Linked DNA regions of Callithrix jacchus. The protein of the gene in region 1 binds, or shares a complex with, the protein of each later gene. Links are inferred from orthologs where the notes say so. Each region holds a gene or a part of one and is shown on either strand. Other genes may lie near its edges.

Region 1 (3,561 bases):
CATTGAAGGGTGTTAAGCAGAGAAGGAACATGGTTAAATCTGTGTTATAGAAAAATCACTCTAGCCACGATGAGGAGGATCAGAAAAAGATGAAAGAAACCAGAAGACCTAGGGCAAGACATGATGCTGGCCCGAACTAGTATCTAAACAGAAGAGTGAAGAGAAGTAAATATATTGTGTGTGTGTGTGTGTGTGTGTGTGCACGCACGCGCGCGCGTGTGTGCGCGTGTTAGGACTCAGTGACTGAGTGAAATGGTGGGGGAGGGGACAGGAGAAATCATGTGTAAGTCCCAAACCTCTTGCTTAAACCTTTATGTAGACAGCAGTACCCACCCGTTGAGATGGGAAATGCTACGAGAGAAATAAGTTTGGGTTTATTTGAGGTGAAGGGTGGGAGTAGGACGGGGATAGAAACGTTAAGTCGTACATTTAGTGAACAGAATACCCATAAGACTCACAAGTAGACATTCAGGTATAAAAGTCTGGAGGCAAAGAGAAAGGATCAGGCTGCAGATACCTGTAGTCCTTGGGTAACTGAGGTGAGAGTGAAGAGAATATTCTGTAGAAAGGCAAAAAATGTCTAGGACACAACCCTAAGATAGAATCTAGAGTAATACTAACAATTAAAGGGATCCTAAGAAAGTGGAACTTGCATAATATGGAGAATTCAGCCCAAAGAATAGATGGAAAACTGGCAGAATATGGATTCAGAGACAGTAGGGAAAGAGTTTCAAAGGCAAGAAAATCAACAATGCTAATTACTGTCAAATAAAGCAGTGAAGAAATCAGTCCACCAGATTGAGCAATAAATGCATACATGTCCTTAAAGCAATTTATTGGCACAAACCATACACTGAGGAGTGAGTGGAAGTTGATGAAATAAAGCATGGACTCTTTTGAGAAGCTGGGTTTTAAATGGGAAAGTGAGAAGGAAACTGGTCACTGAAGGAGGACATAGGACCAAGGGAAGGCTTATTAATGTGCCCACAAGCCAGTGTTAATGAGCGCAAATGCATCTGAGCATGTGTATGGTACACAGGTGCACACACAGAGGCACGCAGAATTGTAAATGAGAAAGAAGCCGAAGTAGAAAAGAGTTTGAAGACTGAAAAATACAACAATAAACAACACAAAATCAAGTCAATGAAAAGGCAGATGATGTGTTACCAAGCACAAGTAACGGGATTAGTCTTAGGGAAAAACGGCATTTCCATGGTAATTGGAGAGATAATCAAAAGGATAGGTATAACAACAGGTAAAAGAGTTTTCAAATTTAGGGCATCAACTTGAGGAAATTCTCATCTGATGATTTCTCTTTTATGTAATATTTAGGAGACAAGGTCATCCACAGGCAGGGAAAACAGTATACAAGCAGAGATTTGAGAAGAGCAGAAAACAAAATGGCCATTACAGAGACCAGGACAGTGTACCATCTTAGGAAATAATAAATTATCAGCAAGGCTGAGGTTCCTGTTGAGGTTTGTGCCAAGAATTTACACAAATACCAATGTGCAGGGTGTTTTTTTCTCCGGGTGCAGTCAACAGCCTGGAAATAGCATAAAAAAGGCAGACTGCTGCATTCAAACAGGACTAGAGTTTTACCAAGCAGATATGACAGAACAGTGAGGCAGGCAACTCAAGGACACCTGTAAGAATGTGGCTAATGTGATGGACTATGGCATCTAAGCTGATCAGGAAGACAGTCAAGACCAGAAAGGGCAGATTGCAAAAAAAGTAGATCTATGGACTAGAAAACCTAAAAAAGGGTACAAACACTACAAATAACTAAGTAGACAGGAGGTCACAGTTAGATAATAAAAATCTGAATTTATTATTTCAGAAGTAGAGCAATTCCTGGTGATTACAGGCACAGTGGCTCTAAAATGAAGGGAGGTCATTGGAAATGTGTGGAAAGCTGCCAGATGGACAAGAAGGGAGGACAAGGCAGACACAATGTCTAAAATAACATGGTGTTCACAGAAAGGCAAGTAGTCTGACATTTCTAAAACCTAAGTTAAGAGGCATCAAGATAAGGATAGAGAAGGGAAGAGCCAAATCATGTATGTCACGGTAAAGAGAATAATCTTTATCTGGAATGCAATTTGCTCAGGATGAGAGCTATCCTCAAATATCTGAAGGGCTGTTGTATTAAAAAAGAATCAGACCACTTCTAGGAAATAGGAAGGGTGGAAGGTTCAAGGAAACAGACTAAAATAGAACATTCTAATGAGTGAATGCATAAATAGGTTGTCTTGGAAAAAACAAAAGTAAACTCTTTATTACTAGAAGTATTTAAGCGAAACTCAATGCTGATCAGCCTATAATGTTATACAAAGAATCAAAAAGGGGACCATTAAGTCCCTTTCAATTCCAAGGAGATAATAAGAGGCAGAAAGACAACACTTACCAATTCTACACCTATTACTCCTGCACCAATAACAACCATCTTTTCTGGAACTTTTTTTAATGATAAAGCACCTGTAGATGACACTATTGTATCTTCATCAATCTGTAAGAAAAACAAAAGATATAATCAAAATAACCTGAAAAAACCTAGTATAATCAACCCTCCATATCCATGGGTTCTGAATTTGCAGATTTAACCAACCAGATGAACTGAAAATATTCAGAAAAAAATTGATGTTTACATCTATACTGAACAGGTACAGATGGTTTTCTTGTCATTATTCCCTAAACAATACAGTGTAAGAACTACCTGCATAGCATTTATAATGTATTAGGTATTATAAGTAACCTAGAGAGGACTTAAAGTATACAGGAGGACAGATGCAAATTATATGCAAATACAATGTCATTTTATGCAAGGCACTTGAGTATGTGCAGGTTTTGGTAACCAAGGGGTTCCTGGAACCAATCCTCCACGAATATGAAGAGACAAGTGTATTTATAAACTGTGAACTCAGTAGAATCACTAAAACTAAGTCATTTATTTATTTTGAGGTATCTATATACCCAATTTCATCAAATCCCACTGAAAATGCTAACTTTAAATTTTATCATTCAATATTCGAAAATGCAACAGTCAATTTTAACTTCATACTGTAATCAAACATATCTTAATATTCCAAATCTAGTCAATATCATTACAGAATAAAGACAGGAAACTTCCCAAAGCTGAATGACCATTAAAATATCATATTTCAGGCAGAAATTTCTCATTCAAAGTTCACAAATAGCACGCATAATTTACAAAACCTATTTCTTAAGAAAAGTTGTAATGGTTGTAAATGATAAAGCATAAATACCGTGATTCCAGGAAAAGGAGTAACTTCTGAACCCGTAGCTATAAGAATATTCTTTGTATCAATAACTTGAGTGCTGCCATCAGCTTTCGTAGCAGTGACTTGATTTTTGCCAGTTATCTTTCCATATCCATTGACATGAACAACCTTTATGAAATAACGTTTAATAATTCACAAAGTTTAAAGTAATTTGTTTGATAAATCATTCGAAGGAAAAATACTCTAAATCATATCTAAAACAAAAGGCTACATTACTTAGTAATGCTACACATGGTGCAGCAAAAAATCTGTGATACAT
Region 2 (4,341 bases), on another chromosome or scaffold:
ATGAGGCCATTAATGTAGGCCCTTATACAATCGGACTGGTGTCCTTATAAAAAGAGACTAGGATATACAGAGACACTAGGGGCTGAGTGCACAGAGGAACCACGATGTGAAGAGGCAAAAAGAGAGGCCTGGAGTAAATCCTTTTCTTATGACTCTCAGAGGAAACCAACCCTGTCAGGACCTTGATCTTGGACAGGCTCCAGAACTGTGAGGAAATAAATTTCTGTTGTTTAAGCCACCCTGTGTGTGTGGTATTTTGTTATGGCAGCCCTATGAACTAACACAACACCTACAGCCTAATGAATTGGATTCCCCTGTTGGTGAACTGGAGGGCTGCAAACAACTATGACAAAGGCAGTTAACATCAACATATATCAGCAATTGCCTTTGGTAATTTCAAAACTGTAGATAAGAGACTGAGATCGCTGATTTATTAAAATGTAATAAATATAGAATACATACAAAGAAATCAGTGTGGCTTCAACCTGAGTCCTCTTCTAACAGGTGCATATACCCAAAACTCAACTAGTGGCATGCCCAGCTACCCAGACAGAAGAAATAAGGTCAAGTGTCAAGGTGTTTTCCTCTTCACAAGAAATAATTCTAGTCATAACAGCTCTCTGGAGGTATGAATGAAAGCTGGAATAACACGTCTCAGGATCCTAAAACTGCAGCAGCACAGAATGCACTGGTTAAAAAACAGGGTTTCCTCTGGCCTCACAAGCATTTCTGCCCTATATATCTTGCCTGCTCATACGTACTATTCGGATATTTGGAATGCCCGGTGAGGTGGGAAAACATTTTAAGAGATAGCTCTTTAGCAAAATGGGACTATTTTAGCCAAACAGAGAAAACTCGAGACCATTTCTAAACTCACCCCCTCGAGGCTTCCAAGACCTTACAACACAGGCCACCGCCCAGGCAGAGCGTCCCGGCCCCGGATCCCCCCATACCTGCAGCCAGGACCTTCAGGGTTCCACCACTCGGACACCCGATGCCCCAGCCCAGCAGCCCTGCGCCTGATCCCCGGATCCCCAAACTTCACGCCGCAACTCCCCGGCCAGCCAGATTTACCTCAGGCCTGGCGTGCTCCGGCCGGCTCGGATCTTCTGCACCCGCAAGGGGAGGCCCAGGAGACAGCTCAAGGCCGTAGAGACTCTCAGGATCTGGCCGCCCTGCAAAGGGTGGGATACATGGAGAAGAGACGTAAGCACACCAATGGTGAGAACTCCCTTCCTTAGTCTGGCTGCAGCCCCCGCCGCTTCGCTCTGCACTCACCCCTTCCATGATGCTGCCATCAACTTCCACCCGCGGCCCCGCCATGGGGGGCACCTTGGGGCCCAGCCGACAGCGACAAAGCCTCCGCCGGAACAGAAGGAAGAAGAGACGTTGGCTCTCGCCCAGTAGTTCAGAAATCTCGGTTCACGGCTGGGACTGCAGGAGCCTGGCGAGAAAGCGGAAGAAGCGACGCCTCTAGGGGAAACCGGAGTCAGCAGAAAGGAACCCCGGCTCCCGCTGTTCTACAGCCAGTGCGCATGCGCATAGCTCGGCTTAAAGGCGCCGCTCCGGGAAACCTGCTGTGCAGGTGAGGAAGGTTCCGGAGAGGTGGGGTGGTGGTCGCGGAGGTGCCCAGGATCCCTGACAGACTTGTGCCTTTGACACAGCAAAATCTGCAGGTTGCAGAAAGTCTCAACTGTAACCACATCCTCCAGTTATCCTGCAGGCTTGTGCTTTATCTTTGTTTTCTGGGTAAATAATGTGTTTCTGTTTTCTCGAAGATCCTGGCATACCCCGAGGTGCCCACTTTTATAGCTGAAGATGCAAGAAAGATCCAGACCCTGCGATGCACCGACCACCTTCTCTCTGGTTGGATTTGCCTTCACTGTGCCTGTCTCTCGAAGTGCGTGCGCCTTGGTGCATTTATATTCTCAGCCCTTCGTTCCTCGAGGGGTGCGTGTTTGTGTGTGCGGAGAGTGTTATCTTTGTTTCTAGGGTGACACGGCATTTATTTGAGGGGCGGGCAAGGCAGAATCACTAGTTTAATACTTTGAAAGGCCAAAGTTATGCCGTCTTGCTTGAGAATGAGTGCAAGTTCTTGACTCCGAGGAACAGTGCAGCTATCAATTCACCTCAGTCGAGGGCAGAAGCAACAGTCAGCTTCTCGGTTCTGCCTGGGGCTCAATTCCAACAAGATTGAGAATTTGTTAAGTAAGTATTTGGCTTACCAAATACTATGCAAGCCTCTAGAGTAAGTCAGCTTCTATTCCTTAAGTTATTGGAGGTATAATGAAGAGACTGAGACGTTATCAATTACAATGTCATCCTCGGTAATAATAGCATGTACTGTATTTATCTTACAGTTTATGGGGACAATTACAATATATTAATAATATCCTATAACAGGCAACTTTACTGAGCACTTAGATATTGTGCACCGCATGCATTCACAACATGATAAAGTGCTTACTGTTTTGACTGTTTTACAGCTTCCTGTGTTAAACAATTTGCTACAGATTCACACAATTTTAACTAGAAGACTGGGATGTGAACCCGGGTGGTCTGATGTTAACACCACTGTCTGGTAATCTCAACACTGCTGCTTTTGCGACAGAGAATGTTTTGCGGAACACACAGACTAGGAACTTAACCAAATCTGGAATTTGCCATAAGGTATTAATCAAGGAAGTAATCATATTCGCATTTTAGAATGAAGGCTTTGGTAGTATGAGGAGGGTGAATAAGAGGCTTAAGAGCCTGAAGGGAGAAATGCCAATGATGCAAATATCCAGCAAAAGATAATGAGAAGCTGAAGTAAGGCAATGATGGTAGCGATGGAATATGAAAAAGCTGTACTCCTATCTGACATCTTAGATTCCTATTACAGAAACTTAACCTTCCCAGAAGAAGCCTTGCCTTTTTATGTCTAACTTTGGCTATTAATTCCTTACTATGACCCTTTGCCCCATTCTGACTACTTCCGGTGGTAGGGAGAAAAGAACAAGATGGTAATATAATGTAGAGATGAGCAAATTATGGTAATAATAAGCACTTGTGTAGTGCTTTCATATACGTGATCTGTCTTAATGTTCATTAGAAAGCTGTGAGGTTGGCGTTCTCATCTCTCTTTGGTCAATGAGGGACTGAGGCCTAGGTAATTGAAGTGACATGCCAAGATGACAGAACAAGAAAGTGGCAGAGTTGGGTTAAATCCTGGGTTATTTTAATAACAAATGACAGTTAGACCAATAACAGAGTCCTCAATAGAATAATGGAAGTCAAAAAGACAGTAGAATTGTACCTTCAGAGTGCTGACAGAAAATAACCATCAACTTAGAATTGGACACTCAGCAAAATTATCTTTCAAGAATTAAAGGGAAGTATAGAAATAAAATAATTTCCAGATACATGGAAACTGAGTTTAACATTTACCTGTACTTTCTAAAGGATGTTCTAAAGGATGTGCTTCAGAAAGAAAAATTACTTCAGAAGAAGAGTCTGAAATAGAAGTGATGAGCGAAAGAAACTGTAAACACATAGTTGAATCTAAGCAAACATTACCCAAAATAACACCAGACAACAAATGTAAGACAAGAGGTGGATGACAAAAGTTAAAGAATTCTGAGGTCTCTCTTTGTAATTAAGATATCAATTAATACAGTTGACATAATTCAAGGTTTAACATAAGTAGGTAAGGTAAAGTTTCAAGAATAACCATGAAAGTGTATTACTTCTAATCCAGCTGAAGGAAAAAAATGGACTAACAAGAAAATACACATTAAGCAAAAGCATAATACCATAATCAGCATAAACAACAGGATGGAAAGAAAGCACTAAAGTAACAGAATAGAAATAAATTCATACAGATCAATAGTAACAATGAAAGTAAATACATTTCCTAATGAAAAGCCAGAGATTGTTGGATGACACCTACCCGCAAATTTAAAAAATTTAAAAACCAGAGATTGATTGGAAAAAAAAAAAGTGCCGTTAACAAGAGATGCACCAAAAACTTTAAGGATAATGAGGAGTTGAAAATAAAATGATGGAAAAGATACACCACATAAATGCCAAAAAAAAAAGAAAGCTGGTATACCGATATTAGTGACAAATTAGACTTTCAAACAAAAAGCACTATCATTGACCAAAAAGAGTCACTACAAAATAATAAAAATTGCAGTCACCAGGAAAATACGTTATTCAAACCTTTGTGTGTAATAAATACCTTCAAAATATGTAAGTCAGACATTGAAGAAACTGGTAAATCCACTACTACACTGAAAGTTTAGCTCAATTATTTGTAGCTCAAGCAAATGAAAATTTAGGAAAGACAAGAAAACTAAT

The links. Proteins that work in one complex are often made in the same cells at the same time.
Region 2: the proteins of DLD (region 1) and DBT are in contact, whole or in part, in a crystal structure (PDB 3RNM), measured with the Homo sapiens proteins. The link is inferred for Callithrix jacchus from reciprocal best matches to the Homo sapiens genes DLD and DBT. Residues at the interface, in NP_000099.2 of Homo sapiens: Ser446, Thr447, Asp448, Arg449, Glu472, Tyr473, Gly474, Ser476, Glu478, Asp479, Arg482; in NP_001909.4 of Homo sapiens: Thr174, Pro175, Ala176, Lys196, Arg199, Leu201, Lys202, Glu203, Leu206.

What each region holds. Positions count from the first base shown.
Region 1 is NC_133512.1:78,360,592-78,364,152, reverse strand, and holds part of DLD (dihydrolipoyl dehydrogenase, mitochondrial), read right to left. Parts: intron 3,411-3,561; coding exon 3,267-3,410; intron 2,510-3,266; coding exon 2,408-2,509; intron 1-2,407. UniProt on the Homo sapiens protein: Lipoamide dehydrogenase is a component of the glycine cleavage system as well as an E3 component of three alpha-ketoacid dehydrogenase complexes (pyruvate-, alpha-ketoglutarate-, and branched-chain amino acid-dehydrogenase complex).
Region 2 is NC_133508.1:145,606,684-145,611,024, forward strand, and holds the start of DBT (lipoamide acyltransferase component of branched-chain alpha-keto acid dehydrogenase complex, mitochondrial), read left to right. Parts: upstream 1-1,535; 5' UTR 1,536-1,585; exon of another isoform or gene 1,586-1,778; 5' UTR 1,779-1,950; intron 1,951-2,486; 5' UTR 2,487-2,562; coding exon 2,563-2,670; intron 2,671-4,341. Other genes in the region: RTCA (RNA 3'-terminal phosphate cyclase), read right to left, coding at 1,075-1,175, 1,279-1,323. UniProt on the Homo sapiens protein: The branched-chain alpha-keto dehydrogenase complex catalyzes the overall conversion of alpha-keto acids to acyl-CoA and CO(2).